4 linked regions of the Saccharomyces cerevisiae S288C genome follow. The gene in region 2 interacts genetically with the main gene of each other region. Each region holds a gene or a part of one and is shown on either strand. Other genes may lie near its edges. The genes, in order: RAX1, AXL1, BUD8 and YEA6.

What was found.
Region 1: of AXL1 (region 2) and RAX1, a mutation in one rescues a mutant of the other (synthetic rescue), as found in Saccharomyces cerevisiae (one study listed by BioGRID).
Region 3: of AXL1 (region 2) and BUD8, a mutation in one rescues a mutant of the other (synthetic rescue), as found in Saccharomyces cerevisiae (one study listed by BioGRID).
Region 4: mutations in AXL1 (region 2) and YEA6 together harm fitness more than expected from each alone (negative genetic interaction), as found in Saccharomyces cerevisiae (2 studies listed by BioGRID).

What each region holds. Positions count from the first base shown.
Region 1 is NC_001147.6:879,312-882,837, forward strand, and holds RAX1 (Rax1p), read left to right. Parts: upstream 1-1,653; coding exon 1,654-2,961; downstream 2,962-3,526. Other genes in the region: BUD7 (exomer complex subunit), read left to right, coding at 1-1,364; YOR302W (uncharacterized protein), read left to right, coding at 3,454-3,526. UniProt on the Saccharomyces cerevisiae protein: Required for the establishment of the bipolar budding pattern. Involved in selecting bud sites at both the distal and proximal poles of daughter cells as well as near previously used division sites on mother cells.
Region 2 is NC_001148.4:780,062-786,236, forward strand, and holds AXL1 (Axl1p), read left to right. Parts: upstream 1-1,983; coding exon 1,984-5,610; downstream 5,611-6,175. Other genes in the region: THI22 (putative phosphomethylpyrimidine kinase), read left to right, coding at 1-240; high-affinity Cu transporter CTR1, read left to right, coding at 6,147-6,175. UniProt on the Saccharomyces cerevisiae protein: Probable protease. Involved in axial budding.
Region 3 is NC_001144.5:832,472-836,697, forward strand, and holds BUD8 (Bud8p), read left to right. Parts: upstream 1-1,880; coding exon 1,881-3,692; downstream 3,693-4,226. Other genes in the region: LUG1 (Lug1p), read left to right, coding at 1-1,068; sedoheptulose-7-phosphate:D-glyceraldehyde-3-phosphate transaldolase TAL1, read right to left, coding at 3,879-4,226. UniProt on the Saccharomyces cerevisiae protein: Involved in positioning the distal bud pole signal.
Region 4 is NC_001137.3:142,578-145,834, forward strand, and holds YEA6 (NAD+ transporter), read left to right. Parts: upstream 1-1,749; coding exon 1,750-2,757; downstream 2,758-3,257. Other genes in the region: MIT1 (Mit1p), read left to right, coding at 1-1,315.

The sequences.
Region 1 (3,526 bases), on a different chromosome or scaffold from region 2:
ACACTAATAACTATTTGGTAGAAACACTCGTTGAGATAGTTAAGCTGACTCGTAATGTTAGCAGGGCGGAAATAATGTTGAAGAATCTGGCTACCGACAACCCTGAGGCGATCATAATACTAATCAAGATCTTTTTGGTGTGTGATCAAGAATTAGACGCAATAAAGCTCACATACGATATGCTTTCGCAGGATAAAATAATAAACAACACTAATAACCGCATGGATTATAAATCTGAATTACTGTGCTTACAAGCGCAATTTTTGATAGACAAAAGGCAGGATTACAGCTTGGCGCAAAACATAGCGCAAGAGGCAGTCAATTGTTCTCCCAGTGAATTTAGACCTTGGTATCTTTTATCCAAGGTGTATGTAAAGCTAAATGATATTGAAAATGCCTTACTGATACTGAATTCATGCCCTATGTCTCCATTAAAGGAAAAATACGTACTGAAAAGAGTAGCTCCGTTGCCTTCGAATAATAGTCTTCATTTGCCATTGCCAATTGACGTTGTACTGGATGAAGTGACGTCGTTGAATCCACAAGACGTTCAGAATGAACACCGCTCTGCGGATCCAATGCTGGTCAATTTAGCTGCGTCGAACTTGAAATCTACTTTCCAATTGGCATACCGATTATTGACAGAAATTGTGCAGATCACCGGCTGGGAAAATCTGTTAAAGTACAGATCAAACATTTTCGTTATGGAAGAAGAGTACCAAAAATCATCATCTTCGTTACCAAAGGACGTTAACAAACAAGAAGAACAGCCTCTGAGGGCTAAACGGCTGTGTGAACGATGGTTAGACAACCTCTTCATGCTTTTATATGAAGACCTGAAGATGTATACATTATGGCAAACCGAACAACTGTACATGGATGCACAGAATAACAACCACAATAAGTTGACTTTCGAATGGGAGTTATTTGGCCTTTGTGCACGTCGACTGGGCCATTTCCCTGAGGCCGCCAAGGCCTTCCAGAACGGTTTATCGCAGAGATTTTCATCAAGGTGCGCGAGGAAACTGCTGGAATATTGTATAAACGAACGCCAACGGGTCAAAAATTTTATAAACTCACCTAATTCGCATGACATGGTCCCTGAAATAGTAAGCTCACGCATAAGAGAGCTAGACAATAGCATTATCGACCTTTGCGTGAAGATATGCTGCTGGAACCACCGTTGGTATACGGAATTTTCCATAAGTTTACTTGATTGTTTAAGTGTGGTTATTCAAGATATGAGTCTGACCAAAGTTTCGAATGAAATCTCGTCAAGATATCCAGAAACTGTTCTCAACTTGGTGCAGGAGAATTTGCTCAATTTCTTCACTACTTGCACCATTGGATGCTACGATGCATAAATACGATAAAAAGACATTAATACGTATATATAATCCAAAAAAAATTGGCGATACGCTTCAACGTTGTGTCAAACTCTTGGGTCACTTTAAAGAAAACCCAGCATACATTAATACAGAGCAATGCTGGTTATGTAACTTCGCCGCCCGCCGCCATTCGAGGAAAAATATTCGTGTTTCGAGAATGCGGGCAAAACGAAAATATCAATAAAACACATACGGGAAATTCATTGTGCACAACGACCTCTAACAATTTCTGCCAAAAAGAAAGTTCAAGAGCGTCCCATTCATCATGAAGGAAGAGCTCAGCAAAGTGAGCAGTATGCAAAATTTCGAGATGATCCAGCGTGAACGATTGCCAACATTGTATGAAGTGTTAATACAGAGGACATCGCAGCCAGTTGATCTCTGGACTTTTTATACATTTCTTTCACAATTCCCATATGCCATCAACTATCTGGACTTTTGGGTTGACCTTATGACACATACACGACTTTGCAAAAACTACATAGAGTTGGTAAGAAAATCATTAATCAACTTTCCACAAGAACAACAGCAGAATGGAAGTACATCTACGGCTACATTTGACTTGCTGAACGCACTGATAGAAGAAGGGCACCTAGACCCGGAAGCACCTGATAAACTCTTAGAAAATAGCGGCCCAGACGTGCCCTTTTCACCAAAATTAAACGAATTGCTGGGTGATTGGAAGCACCAATCGGGTATCGGTCAAGAAGCCCTGAGAAACGAAGACGTAGCGCTGATCGTCGACGAGATAATGAAAAGGCGCTCCCAACAAGACGGAAAACCGCAGATAACTACAAAACAACTGCTGCACAGCGCAGTTGGTCTCTGCAACACCTATTTAGTATCGCCCGAACAAAGCGAACGGTACCTGAGCAACATCCCCATGGAAACGCGGAACCGCATAATAGAAAGCGTACAAATCGAGCGAAAGTACGACATTGAGATTTTTGACGACCTAAAAAACCTAACTTACCAATTCCTAGAAATGGATTGTTTCCCAAAATTTCTAAGCCGCGTCGCACTACACAACATCCACGATGAAATATCTGATTGGAGATTCCACTCAGTGGGCGTCACCAACGAAAAAAGCAATCGCTCTCGAGGCCAGACGCACATTTCTCGCTCGCCATTCTCCAATCACACGTCAATCAGTCGTATTGGCTTTGGTTTGCTCTGGCTAGGCATCGGCTTTTGGATCGGATATGTTCTAATCTTCCTGGCGTATAGTCGCGCAATCCGTGTCGTTACGGTCGTGCCATTTACACTGGGATGCTACTGCATTGTGTGTGGCATGTATCAAGTGGACATTGTGTATTCCTGGTTTGGCGTCACACAGAGACTTCTCCACAGACACAAAAACGCTGGCAATGACGAAGGAGATGCTTCTAGTGATACCGATCACGTGCCAATGATACTTGCGGTGTTCGGCGGTAGGCGCCGTCTTACCCGCATAGAGCACCCATTTACTCGGCAGCTTCTACGTAAGCGTGGACTGTGGTGTCTGCTTCTCGTAGTGGGTGCCACTGCCGCATTCACAGTTATTTTCAGCTGTGTTCCCGGCCGTCGTGTATGATGTAATCCATCACCCCCCTATAAAAACACCTGTGCACCGCATATTTCCATAGCGCGTGACGCTAAGTACAAGAAACAGCGAGGGGCCGTTAAGTGCAGGCTTTACCGAGGGCGCCGGCTGGCGCTTCCCGTGGAAGGGTGTTTGACTCATCATCGCATCGCATTACCTCATGATGAGTAAATAGTTGCGATTTCACTTATCACCTCTCGCGGAAAAAAAAGGCGATGACATGATATATAAGGCTCTCTCGTAAGACACTTAACTATCCAACGTTCATTAGATTATTCGGTCAATTTCTTTTTTCATGCCCCTCCTTTTTCTTTTCTTTTCTTGACTCGTCGTTTCTTTTTCTTTTTTTTTTTTTTTTTTTTCTTCAGAACTATAACACATAGATACACTCGAACATCTAATTGTTTAAATACTGCAAAGAATACAAGGTAATCGACTCTTCTACATACCCTTTTTGCAGATTTGAAATAAAAAAAACATTATATGTTTAGCTTATCGAACTCTCAATACACCTGCCAAGACTACATATCTGACCACATCTGGAAAACTAGCTCCC
Region 2 (6,175 bases):
GTTTATGCTGTAGACAAAGTTAAGGATAAGATAACAGCAGCAGAGGGTTCTATTTATAGTGAATGGTGTGATACTTGCGCGTCTTCATTTTGCTACCAAGCTGTGCTTGAAGGTGAAAGGCTCATGAATCACATCTTGGAAACATATCCTCCAGATCAACTTGATTCTTTGGTGACGATCTTTGCAAGAGGTTGTGAATTAGAAACTAATTTCTGGACCGCCGCCATGGAATACGAATGATAGTTACAATATTTTTAACAGAATATATAAAATACATATACAGAAATGATAAACTATAAACGCAAAAGATTAGCGATACGAAAAAAGGATTTCTCGCTATTATATCAATTTATAAAGAGATCCTTTGGAAATATAAATTATGTTCATTTCATTTTTTCAACTTCTAGAAGGATGACTAACTATTGTTTCCATTTGCTAGCATGGTAAATTAATACATTTTTGAATTTGCTGCTAGGGTACAATACCATGCAATGTTTATAATATAAATCAAAGTGACAGAGATTCCTAAAAGCTAAAACAAATCCATTGATAATATAATAGTAGGTTGGTCAATTCACCGCAGATTCAATGTAAGTATTGATACTCCATAAATGTTAACTTCAGGTTGATATTCGTTACAAAAATCTTAGTTTGCTTTTCATTACTATCTGAACGGAATGCTCAACATTTTTCTTATTCTACAATTGTACAATGTCACGTAAACAGTTTGATTTGTGTATTTACAGTGGAAACATTTTACTTGTTGGCAATAGTACATGCGCAGATAATCAAAAACCATTGTTTCCGACATTATTTCTGACAATTGCTTGAATTTGCTGAACACTTTTCGAGGTACATTCTGATAAAGAGTGCATTATTAGTTATTTAGAGTATATTAAGACATCTTCTCGAAGATATATAAATTCGTAAAGGAAACAAAAATTTCGGGATAACAAAAAAGTTTCTTCTTTTTACGTATTAAATGGTCTATTCATCGATCCTATTTCACTATCAATCCTATTATATTATCAACTTTTGCATTTCTGCTTCCACCAAAGTCGACGGCTGTTTCTCATCGTTTATGTAATATCATAACGCATGTATGACATTATATCAGTGGCATGAGCGCTAGTCCATGAAATAGGAGTTTAACTCCAACATACGGAACATTCGCATTATCGCACACGTAAGACTCGATATATTAAGGAAGGAATTTCCGAGTTGGATTAATAAAGGAAAAATAAAATATAGTGTTGGAAATATAGTTGCCTCAGAATAATATCAATATAATATTAAAACGTATATAGTTAGATACCCGGTATTATTCGAGTACGCATTAATTCAGCAGTATGACTTTCTGTGCCTGCTTATATATTGTAACCGTATGTTGTTCTACCTTAAAAATTTGCTAAATTGAAGGAATTGACTATCGTCACTGAAGAGTATTCGTATTATGGTATTATGATACATTGTCTAAAAAAAGGATACCATTTTTCTTCAATAGAACAAGAAGAGAATCTAAGGACACCATTTCGAGAAATAGTTTACACAGTATATCCAATAACTCCAATAAACTACTTTCCTATACAAATTTCCGATGGTTGGATTAATAGTAAAACTTCTATACTTCTTTCATCCATCAAGAAATTAAGGTAAACATCTGGTAAGCACTATCCAACTTTTTTCTGTTACACATATGGTTTTTCTGCAATCATTTCTTCCCACTTTGCATGAGTAAGTGTCCCATTTTGTCTCAAGCCGTTAATCTTGAAACCGCAGGCGGAGTTACTTGATGCGGTATTTTACATGCCTTTTTTCACTGCAAGAAAAAAATGAAACACTTATTTACACGATTTTCAGGATAGTTTACGCTGGTGAGTATGCAGAACAGTTAACACCTTTGTTTTATCCTTTTGTGTCTTGATTATATAATATAAATGTGCCTGGCGTTAAAAAATAGCAACTGAATAAGTTTTTTTACTGATGTCCTTGAGAGAAGTAACTAATTATGAAGTCTCGTTTTACATCCCGTTGTCTTACAGCAACAGGACTCATAAAGTTTGTAAACTGCCAAACGGAATTTTAGCATTAATAATATCGGATCCAACAGATACTTCAAGCTCATGCTCACTGACTGTTTGCACAGGTTCCCATAACGATCCAAAGGATATTGCCGGTTTGGCGCACCTTTGTGAGCACATGATTCTTTCTGCCGGTTCCAAAAAATACCCTGATCCTGGTTTATTCCACACACTAATCGCAAAAAACAACGGCTCTCAAAATGCCTTTACCACAGGGGAGCAAACGACTTTTTATTTTGAATTGCCCAATACTCAAAATAACGGCGAATTTACATTTGAATCTATCTTAGATGTGTTTGCCTCATTCTTCAAAGAACCGCTCTTCAACCCTTTACTGATAAGCAAGGAGATATATGCAATACAAAGTGAGCATGAGGGAAACATATCATCAACCACAAAAATATTCTACCACGCAGCAAGAATATTGGCCAATCCCGACCATCCTTTCAGTCGCTTTTCCACTGGGAACATACACTCGTTATCTAGCATTCCACAACTGAAAAAAATAAAACTAAAGAGCTCATTAAACACTTACTTCGAAAATAATTTTTTTGGGGAGAATATAACCTTGTGCATAAGGGGACCGCAGTCTGTTAATATTCTTACGAAACTAGCTCTATCAAAATTTGGCGATATAAAACCCAAAAGCGCTGTAAAGGAAAGGAGTATATCGATTAGGACGAGGTCATTTCGAAGATCGAAGTCTTTAAAAAAACGCCAAGATTCTTCCAAAAACGACTACAGTGACTTGAAAACCTTTAAAATACTGAACACAACGTGGGAAAAAAAATACAAAAATACGATGTGTTTTCAACAATTTCCTGAATGCAATTCGATATTTATCAATTCAAATAAGGTACCTATAATGAGACTTCTCTTTCCTGTTAGCGATAAAAACACTCGGTTTACAAAGGATGACATTAAAATATACAGTCATCTTTGGTGTGAACTTTTCGGCGATGAGTCTCCAGGATCTTTGAGCTATTACTTAGCTTCAAAAGGCTGGCTCACAGGCTGTTTTGCCTTTACCTCAGAATTCGCTATTGGTGACATAGGATTAATTTTGGAATTAGAACTGACAAACAGTGGCTGGGAAAATATTAAGAGAATTACGACAATAGTACTTAATAGACTCTTGCCTTCCTTTTACGTAATGAACATCGATTACTTAATCACTTTTTTGAAAGAACAGAATTTGATCGACCTCGTTAGCTTTCTGTACCAAAGTTCAGAGGATCTTCCAATGGAAGAGTGCTCAAAATTAAGCGGTATTCTTCAGGACGATTTAGAATGTTTAACCCCCCCTAATATATTCAAAGGATTTAAATCTCTTATAGAAATAGATGATCCCAACATCGAAAAATATGAAAACACAAAGGCCAATATACAATGGTGGACAGGGCAAGCTATTAAGTTCCAAAATTTTTTAAAATCTTTCATGAATCATGACAACATGCGCCTTTTACTCTTAGGGAATATAAAATCTGGTAATATATTTGATAAAATGAAAAATAAAAGTGATATATGCACCGATTTTTTCTATGAATTTGAGTATTATACGGCAAACGTTCATCTAGCAAGTGATAATAAATTTCATTCAAACAGCTCGTATGAATTTAATTTTCCCACAGGTAATCTTTTTTTACCAGATTGCGTCAGCGATCCTTTAAAACTACAACAGCTCTTCTTAGAATGCTCGTTAAAATCGAAATTTGCTACGCTTAGACCTCAAATTTATAGTGAGCCCACTAGGACAAAGCCTCAATTAGTCAGTGAGAACCAGAATTATGAGATGTGGATCTTAAAAGAAGACCCAAATTTTGCCTCAGACAATAAATCCGTCGTATCATTTGAAGTTTTGGGGTTAGGCATCAAACCTAGTCCGGAGGCAACAATCCACCTGGAAGTACTAGCACAGGCATTATTTATCATCACCTCTTCATTCCTTTATCCCGCTCTGAGAATTGGTTACACATATGAGATTGCCTCATCTAGTAAGGGCAACGTAACACTGCGATTTACTATTTCTGGATTCCCTGAGGGTGTTTTCACAATAGTAAAGACGTTCGTGGATACGCTAAAACTTATTGCAACAGATCCAACGTTTCTTTCTAAAGATACCTTGAGAAAGGCAAGGATTTTAGTTAGAAATAAATACAAGAACGCGTCATCGGACAACTGCGTGAAGCTAGCTAGCGTTGGATTGCTGATTGTTTTAGAGAAATATATATGGACTTTAGAGGATAGAATTAATGCATTAGAGCTTACCGAGTTGGAATCCTTCGAAAAATTTTGTTTTTTATTCTGGAGGAATCCTAAACATTTGGTCTTGTTCATGCAGGGAAGCCTTGAATATGCTGACGCAATCAACCGTTACTTAAATAACAATTTTACGCAGCACCTAAAAATCAGCAATGAAGGGAGCAAACCGACCATACGTCTCTACCCTCCTCCCAGTACAAAAGATCTAGATCAAGGCACAAATGCCTTTATATCATATAATGGTCACCAGGATGATCCCAACAATAGTATTGTGTATTTTATTCAGACTGCACAAAGAGATGACATCAAAAATCTGACACTAACCTTTCTTACCGAATATCTATTTTCACTAACGCTAGTGCCTGATCTAAGAAATAAAAAGCAAATTGGGTACATTGTTTTGGGAGGACTCAGGGTTTTAACAGACACTGTTGGGATTCATATAACCGTAATGTCTGGCAGCTCGGGGCACAATCTGGAAACTAGGATCAATGAGTACTTATCTTACTTGCAGCTGCAGGTGCTAAATAGATTCACCGAGTTTGATTTTCGAAGGATACTTCTAGAGCCGTTCTTAAATCTTTTAAAACAGAACAGTACGAAACAGTTTGAAGGGTCGGCTGGTCCTGTAGACCTATTAAATGAGATAGTGGCAAATGTGCAAAATGGTGATAATTACACTCTCAACAATAAACAAATGAGACAACATAGGAAGGTAAGAAATAAAATTGCGGAAGGAAGGCTTAATTTTCAAGAAGATCATGAAATGATTGATATCTCATTTTTGCAAAAATTAACTCTAAAGAAATATTTAGCATTCTTCGAGTCCAAAATCTCTATATATTCCGCTCAAAGAAGTAAGCTATCAATAATGATCACAAGTCCAATGGCAGAGAAGGAAATTGCAAGCAGGAAAATGTTCCTTCAGCTAGAGGCCTTTCTGAAAATAAACGGATTCGCCATAAAAAATGAAGACTTGAAGAAAATTGTCGAACATTCAAAGGGAAATCCTATTTTACTTGTAAAGAACCTTTTTACTTATTTTCGTAGGAGAAATGAAGTTTTCAAGCTCGGAACCGTTGTATTGCAGGAAATATTGAAAATCATCGGAATGAATCTTAAGCAGAGATACGGCTCTATATTAGGGTTTTCTTCCCAAGATGGTGAAGGACAAGAAATAGAAAAATTTTGGAACAACGACACAAGTCCGATTGTTCCTCTTCAGGAGCTTCCTGAACCAAACTTTTTCCGCAAGGCCGCATTTTGAACCGTATTTTGCTCGTTCCAGCCTTTCCACGTTTTTGTTATCTAAGCAACTTGGCACATTTCCCTACTATACTACAAACCGATACGTAAATACTTCCCTAAATAGCATATGAATTATTCAGTAATTTTTAAGGATCGAAACTGCACCTCAACTATTCGTTACTGTGGTTATGTTCTCATGTATTGATGCAAATCATGGGATATTTGCTCAAGACGACGGTAAAATGAGCAAAAATGGCACGATCCTGAAAAGAGCACTTTTCAAGATTCGGGCTACAAAATGCAACATAAAAAATGTTGTATTGTCATCTCGAGAGGGTCTTGTATGTTTTATTCCTCTTATGATTAGTTCACATTAGTAAAACAGATACGCAGTGTGCTCTTAATAAACAACTACTCCATAGCTTTATTTGCATAACAAAACTTTTAAGCACAAACTTAAACAGGTGGAGTAATAGTTCGGCGGCGACTCAAATTACATTTGTTGGAAGAATCGAATAGAAAATAAAAAAAAGTGTATTATATTTGACATTCAAAATGGAAGGTATGAATATGGGTAGCAGCAT
Region 3 (4,226 bases), on a different chromosome or scaffold from region 2:
CAGATTGAAAAACTAAATGATAGACATGAAATTATTGCATACAGATATAAAAACCCAAATTCGGTAATTAAAGATATTTCAACAGCAGAACAAGTAAAGTGGAAATGTTACATTGATTCTTCTTATGGTAGGAGATATTGGTTATATAAGACTGATCCTTTCCTGAATCGTGATGACTTGGATTCTAAGTCAAATTTAACTAGGTATGATTTTGAGGGTCACAAAATCATAGAAATTATAAACCAGCCGGATTTCCTAAAGTTTGCCCAAAGTAAAATCATGCTTGGATGTGGTCTAGTTCCTCAAAGTGGTATTAGACGTAAACTATGTTACAGAGATTTAAAGCCACCAGTTTCTCAATTCTTAAATAGAAAAGGTGCGATCAGCCTTGGTGATACTCCACTACCAATAATTACCCCAACATTACCTCGTGGTGGGTGGAGAATCATCCATAATGAGGACGACAACAACAGTCATGTGGAAGATAGCCAAAATCACGTGAATGCCATCCCAAGAAGGAATTCTCTGTTGAGCAGACCCACTTTAAGAAGCAACAATGGTTCTTCCTCTGCCAACCCCTTTGCTATCAATGTTTCTCCTGCATCTCAAATCAGGGATGGTTTGTACTGGGATAGGTCGGTCCATGATTTACGTGAGCTATCATTGCAAGAACAAAGAATTCAGGAGTTAGCTGATGAGCAGCAGGAACTAAGAACAATCGCAAACTTTGAAGAGACTGACGACGAATATTTGCACGATCCCGACTTGCAACGGAGAAGGTCCCAACTTCACTTATTTGAAAGTTCGCGCTCACGTTCAGGAAATAAAACAAGACCAAGTTTAACTGGTGAACACTCGTCCTCGGCATCGTTTCTATCCTTCTCCCACTTCAACCACCTTCACAAGCGTAAGAATTATTATTTCACGCATCCCGATGAATTTGTCTATGATCCAAAGGATCCTCTGACGACTCAAAGATATAGATTACATTTTGAAATAGTCAACGAATATCAAGTTTTTGGGTGCATTGAGCGTGGAATGTATAGATACTACAGTTTAAAAGCATAGATATTTTTCTCTTTACTTCCTTACCCTTCCTCCGCTCTCGTCTTGTGTCTTGTATATGATTTCTATATATGGTAAAATATTGCATACATCGTCTACCATTTAGCCAGACTTTTCGGAAACGAATTTAATGATTGCAGCAAATTCCCTTCCCCTATCAACTGATTGAAGAATGCCTCGAAACGCAATGTGATTTTTAAGTTTTCCATTTTTTTTTTTTTCATAAGGGAAGCCTCTCTCCTCCGAAAAAGGTAAACATTGCGAAAAATGATCCAAAAGAGAGAATAAAAAAACAATTAGAAAATGATTTACTCATCCGCTTACTAGAGAGGCCAAACCGGATAGTCCTGACGCTAATAAGAGTAGGATTAAGTTCATTGTGGTGTGTTTTTTTATTGCGCGTAAGCGATACCTGCAAAATTCATTATAATTTTCAATCACCTTCCATCAATTATCAATACCCCATACTAAGAACAGGCAATTGGTTTAGGAAGGAAAATAATAAAGATATCCAAAAACAACTGGAAGCTTTCCAGTCGCGACCTCTGTTTTGTTCGAACTTCTAGTTAACAAAAGAAAGACCATTCAATTGCTTTTTTAATATTCATTATTGACGATTTTTATTTCTAGGCGATTACCGGTATACTTTTCATTCTTTTGATAAGATAATAAATCCAATTACATTCGCTTATTTTAATTCAATTTAGACTATAACTTTCTCTTAACTCTAGGAGTTTCTTTCTTGAATCGAAGCATTTTTGACAATACCCAATATCCTCTTTCTACTTGAGAATTTTTTCGATTCTACATGAAGTATGATACAATCAGACGAAGATAATTTGGACTCTTCTGAAACGACAGCATCAACTTCATATAGTGGTACTTCCTCTGTATCATCCAGACTACAACTAAGAACATCCTTGTTTTTTGAAAATCTTAATGGAGCACATGGGAACCCCGATGCGGAGACAGAGATGGCTACTGTTGCCTATGAAACCACAAGTAGAGGTCAAGGATTTGCTGTATACATCAACAATGAAAGGTTTTCTCAAATAATGGGAGCATCCACAAGCTCTAGCTCTAGTAGCAACTCGTCCTCTATTACACAATTTCACGATACCCAAGATAATAATATACCAAGCAACACTACTGTAAGGCCAACTTCACTTCGACGAGACAACGAGGATACCGTACCGTTAAGGAACGTAACTCCTTCACAAAACGCGGCGGTACGGCCAGAAAGAGCAGTGAATTCACCATCTTCGCAGAGATTAAGTTGCGCACTGACAATATCAACTTCAGTTCTTATGGGAGAAGATGTTGAAGGAAGCCCTATAGAGCAAGAGCATAGTAGGGTCGTATCTTCATTATACTCATCTTTGGCGAATCGCGGGAACGACGAGTCAAAGAATGGAACACCTCCACGTCCTACCTCAATTGAACCTAATGAAACAACGGAACACTCATTTTTCTCATACCATTACGATGACACCTTAGAACCAGATGTTGAAGAGGCAGTGAGGCTAACGAAGAATAAAACTTCTAATGTTAATTTTATAAGCTCAACTGGCAGTAAAGGTGAAGGCGAGACCGAGGATGAAGTCATAGATCAATACGAACCTGTGAATGAATCAAAATTTATACCGCACAAACTAAAAATTCCAGAGAAGGCTGGATCAATAAAGTCGTCGACAAGTGATGATTCGCATTCGCCAGGTGCGCCAGGTACGTCGGCAAGGAAGATTAAAATTCCTCAGAGTCCATCGTTAATTGGTAACATATTGATTCCTTCACACAATAGTGACAGTAGTAACGAAAGTTCTCCTAAAGACCATATAGGGCATAATAATGAAGAAAAATTCAGTTCAAAATCTACGCGCAAGCCCTCCACATCCCTAGAAGAAGAAGGTCCACCAATTGGACTACCTTCAATTCCCGTATTAAGAAGTGTGTCCGGACCAAGCAAATGGACGAAGACACCTTTACGCTTAGAATCTGGAAATTCAACTAAGTCTGATCCATTTTCACGCTATGAAGGACACAAGACGCCCTCTCCATTGACCAAGATGAACAAGAAGAAAAATAAAACGTTGCCAGAACATGGACAACCCCTCGTGCTAGCTCCAATTAAATCTCAAAGCTCGGAGTCAGACACGGGACAGAACTCCATTATAGAAAAGCCAGCTCGAAGCATACGACGAAAGCAACAAGAAAAAACTGATAATAGGAAAGAAGACAGGCACGATGCTGAAAATATAGACCTGGAGGCGAGAATGCCAATTCAACATATCGATACCGCTTCCATTCATTCGTTTGATTCAGGTCAAAATGGATTCAGGGACGTTTACAGCATCGAAAACATCATTGTGATCCTCCTATGTTGTAGTATAGTGCCGCCATTATTTTTTATTATTGGCTGCAGCTCAAGAAGGAAATTAGTTTCAGACTATAGATTAATGAGGTTGCTTATGAATAAAGAACACCGAGCGGCTTTGCTGCAAGGATTCATATGGGACGTTGATTTAAGGTGGTTCCGGATGTTTTGTCTGATCTTAGGGGCTGCCGAAACAGTGATTGTGATGGCCGGTATTGCTATTGGATTTGGTGTGGGTATAACACGTGAATAAGAAACTGTATCATTCATCAAATAGGATAAAAAATAAAAAACTGTTCTGTCTCGTTAAAGTCATATATATAAATAGGGGATTTTCATTAATTTATATATATAGATATACTTGTGTACATGTACCCGTAAGTATCAAAAGAAACGTGCATAAGGACATGGCCTAAATTAATATTTCCGAGATACTTCCTTAAGCGGTAACTTTCTTTTCAATCAAGTCGAATAGAGTAACAATATCGGCAGAGAATTTTCTGATACCTTCGGACAATTTTTCAGTGGCCATAGCGTCTTCATTCAAGTCGAATCTGAATTTAGATTCGTCGCTGATGTAAGAAATCTTGTCGCCGGCTTCCTTCTTAGCGGAGACAGGGTCCAAAACTCTTGGGAAAGGTTCAGTACTGTTCATCAACTTGTCCAATAAAGCTGGAGAAATTGTTAGATAGTCAACACCAGCCAAGTTTTTGATTTCGTCAGTGCTTCTGAAAGAAGCACCCATAACAATAGTCTTGTAACCGTACTTCTTGTAGTAGTTGTAGAT
Region 4 (3,257 bases), on a different chromosome or scaffold from region 2:
AGGCAACGTGAAAAACAATTCCACTACCACCGGTAATGGTCCTAATAATATAAACAATAAAAGCAACTCTTCCACTCCCCTGAATACTGTTATTTCCACGAATAACAATAGTGCTAATATAAATGCTGCTGGCAGTAATCAATTTACTAGTGCAAACAAAAATTATTATTATAAAAATGATGAAAGCTCTGGATACCCAATCACTCAATTTGCTCCCGCATTACCATCAACAACTTTGATGTATACGGCGAATCCACCTTATATCACTCAATCTCCTGATAACACTAACGCTACTGGTATGAATACACATGTTAATAATAACAATAATAATAGTAATAACAGTAGTAATAGTAATAATAGTAACAATAATAATAATAATAATAATAATAATAATAATAACAATAATAATAATATTAATAATATTAATAATGTCAATACTAATGCAGGGAACGGTAACAATCCAAATAGATTCCATAACGCCTCTTTTGCTTATAACACCACCGGTGACTTTATTAATCCGCAACAACAAGGACAAATTTCTTATCCATTTTATTATACAACAATTCCGATAAACAATCCTAACTATTATACCACACAACCTCCAAACCCTGTAACAAACGCTTCAACGAACGAGAATCAAGGCTATTCCACCTCCTCAACTCAACACCCTTATTATGGGCATCCTACTGAAAGTCAATCAGCATCAGCAGCCGCAGGCGCTACTGGCACTCCTGGTACAGCCGAGAATGTCCTTCCCGTATCCAGTATGCAGCCACTACTCCATCAAGCCAATAATAATAGTGCAAGCTCTGCTACCTCTACAGCTCCTTATCCGGTGTATTCTATGAATGTGAATGTTCCTTATTACAATTCTTCTGCTTCTGCATACAAGAGGGCACAAGAAAATACTACTTCAAATACGAATGCAGAACCTTCTGGTGCTACAAGCACTAACTCAGGCACCATGCTATCAAATCCTGCATACGCTAATTCTCAGTACACTCCATCGCAAGTGTATTACCAGGGATTCCCCCAATATGCCATGGCAAGTGCTCAAAATCCGTCTATGTATCAACACCAGCACCAACATCCTTTGCCCACTGTATATCCAATAGCGACGCCTCAACAAAATATAATGAGCTCTGGTCACACTTTGAGCACTATTGGATCTGATCCTCAACATCATCACTATCAACAAGAGCCCAACGACCACAAAAACTTCGCTATGGGTCACGCGAACAATAATATCTTAAACATCACCAATAATGATACGATGAACAACCTCAATACAAACACTTCAACTACTACACAATAAGTAAATATATTTTAAAAAAGTACTCCGATTTTCTTTTCTTCTCCTTGCCTTTTTGAGTATCGGGTTTACTCATGAAAATTATATCATTTTTCATTTTACAGTTTTATATACTTCGCTTCTTTACGTAATCATGCCTTTAATTTCATCTTCATTTGCCTATGGAAAAAAGCTATTCCTTTTGACATCATAAAATATCTTTATTAAAGAATCCCCTCTGTCAACATTTTCTACGAAAGATAGCTTAGTGTATTTTTTGAAGATGCTGTCGAAAATGATTCTCGACATACTCGCGCTGGTGGAAAAATGAAGTGGAAAAGATAAGCAAATTGATATATAAGCAAATAAACATATAATTTGGACGTACATCGAAATTAGTTGTTCTCAACTTATTTTCATTGTTTGATGAAAAGCGGAATATACATCACGGCTATATAATGAATAATGGAGACAATAAAACGACATTAGAAAACTCAAAAAATGCGTCACTAGCTAATGGAAATTATGCGATTCCCACAAAACTAAATAGGCTGAAAAAGAATGCTGACCCTAGAGTTGCTGCAATTTCAGGTGCTTTATCTGGTGCACTATCCGCAATGCTGGTCTGTCCTTTTGACGTTGCGAAAACAAGATTACAAGCACAAGGTCTCCAAAACATGACACACCAAAGTCAACATTATAAGGGGTTTTTTGGTACATTTGCTACTATTTTCAAGGATGAAGGTGCTGCTGGGCTTTATAAAGGTCTACAGCCGACGGTTTTAGGTTATATTCCTACTTTGATGATTTACTTTTCCGTCTATGATTTCTGTAGAAAATATTCGGTCGATATTTTCCCACATAGTCCGTTTCTCTCAAACGCTTCTTCTGCAATTACTGCAGGTGCCATCTCTACAGTTGCGACAAATCCGATTTGGGTAGTAAAAACAAGACTTATGCTGCAAACAGGTATCGGTAAATATTCCACCCATTATAAGGGTACCATAGACACATTTAGAAAGATCATTCAACAAGAGGGTGCTAAGGCTCTTTATGCCGGCTTAGTACCAGCCCTGCTGGGGATGCTGAACGTTGCTATACAGTTTCCTTTATATGAAAATTTAAAAATAAGGTTCGGATATTCAGAATCGACTGACGTATCGACAGATGTGACGAGCTCAAACTTTCAAAAATTAATATTGGCCTCTATGCTATCTAAAATGGTAGCATCTACCGTGACTTATCCTCACGAAATACTTCGAACTCGAATGCAACTGAAATCCGATCTTCCAAATACTGTTCAACGCCATCTCCTTCCATTGATTAAAATTACGTATAGGCAAGAGGGCTTCGCCGGCTTTTACTCTGGGTTTGCAACTAATTTGGTAAGGACAGTACCTGCTGCTGTGGTAACACTAGTATCGTTTGAATATTCTAAAAAGTATTTAACTACTTTTTTTCAATAAAGTGAAACAGAAAAATGTACATGACACAAGCTGAGGGTCGTAAAAAGCATCTTTCGCAATTGTTTCAACCTCATGACCCCTGTCTTGACTATGTATTCCTCTTTACGTCGGGCTACTCGCAAAATCAAGTAGTTTTAAACCTTTAGTATGTTGCAAATAAAGAGCAAAAAAAGAATTTATTCATCCCAGGAATCTCACTACATTTCGTAGGGGAAGAAATGTAGATTTGAGGTTCATTTGGCTCGTGAGAACGACTTGAACCTTATTCATACTTTATATAATATTTTAGGAGTATTGTAGCATTATGTATATTTTTCTTGCGGGTGTGCACTGCCGAAATAGCTGCTGAATATCCAGATTAAAAAACTAAACAAAAAACTGTTTCTTGTTCGAATAGTAAAAGAAGGTTTTCCCAAATGCTATTGTTATTTAGAAACGCTGGAAATACAGTATTTTTTGAAGAACTATCCGTTTTACCCGAACCTATTTTAATTCAATTC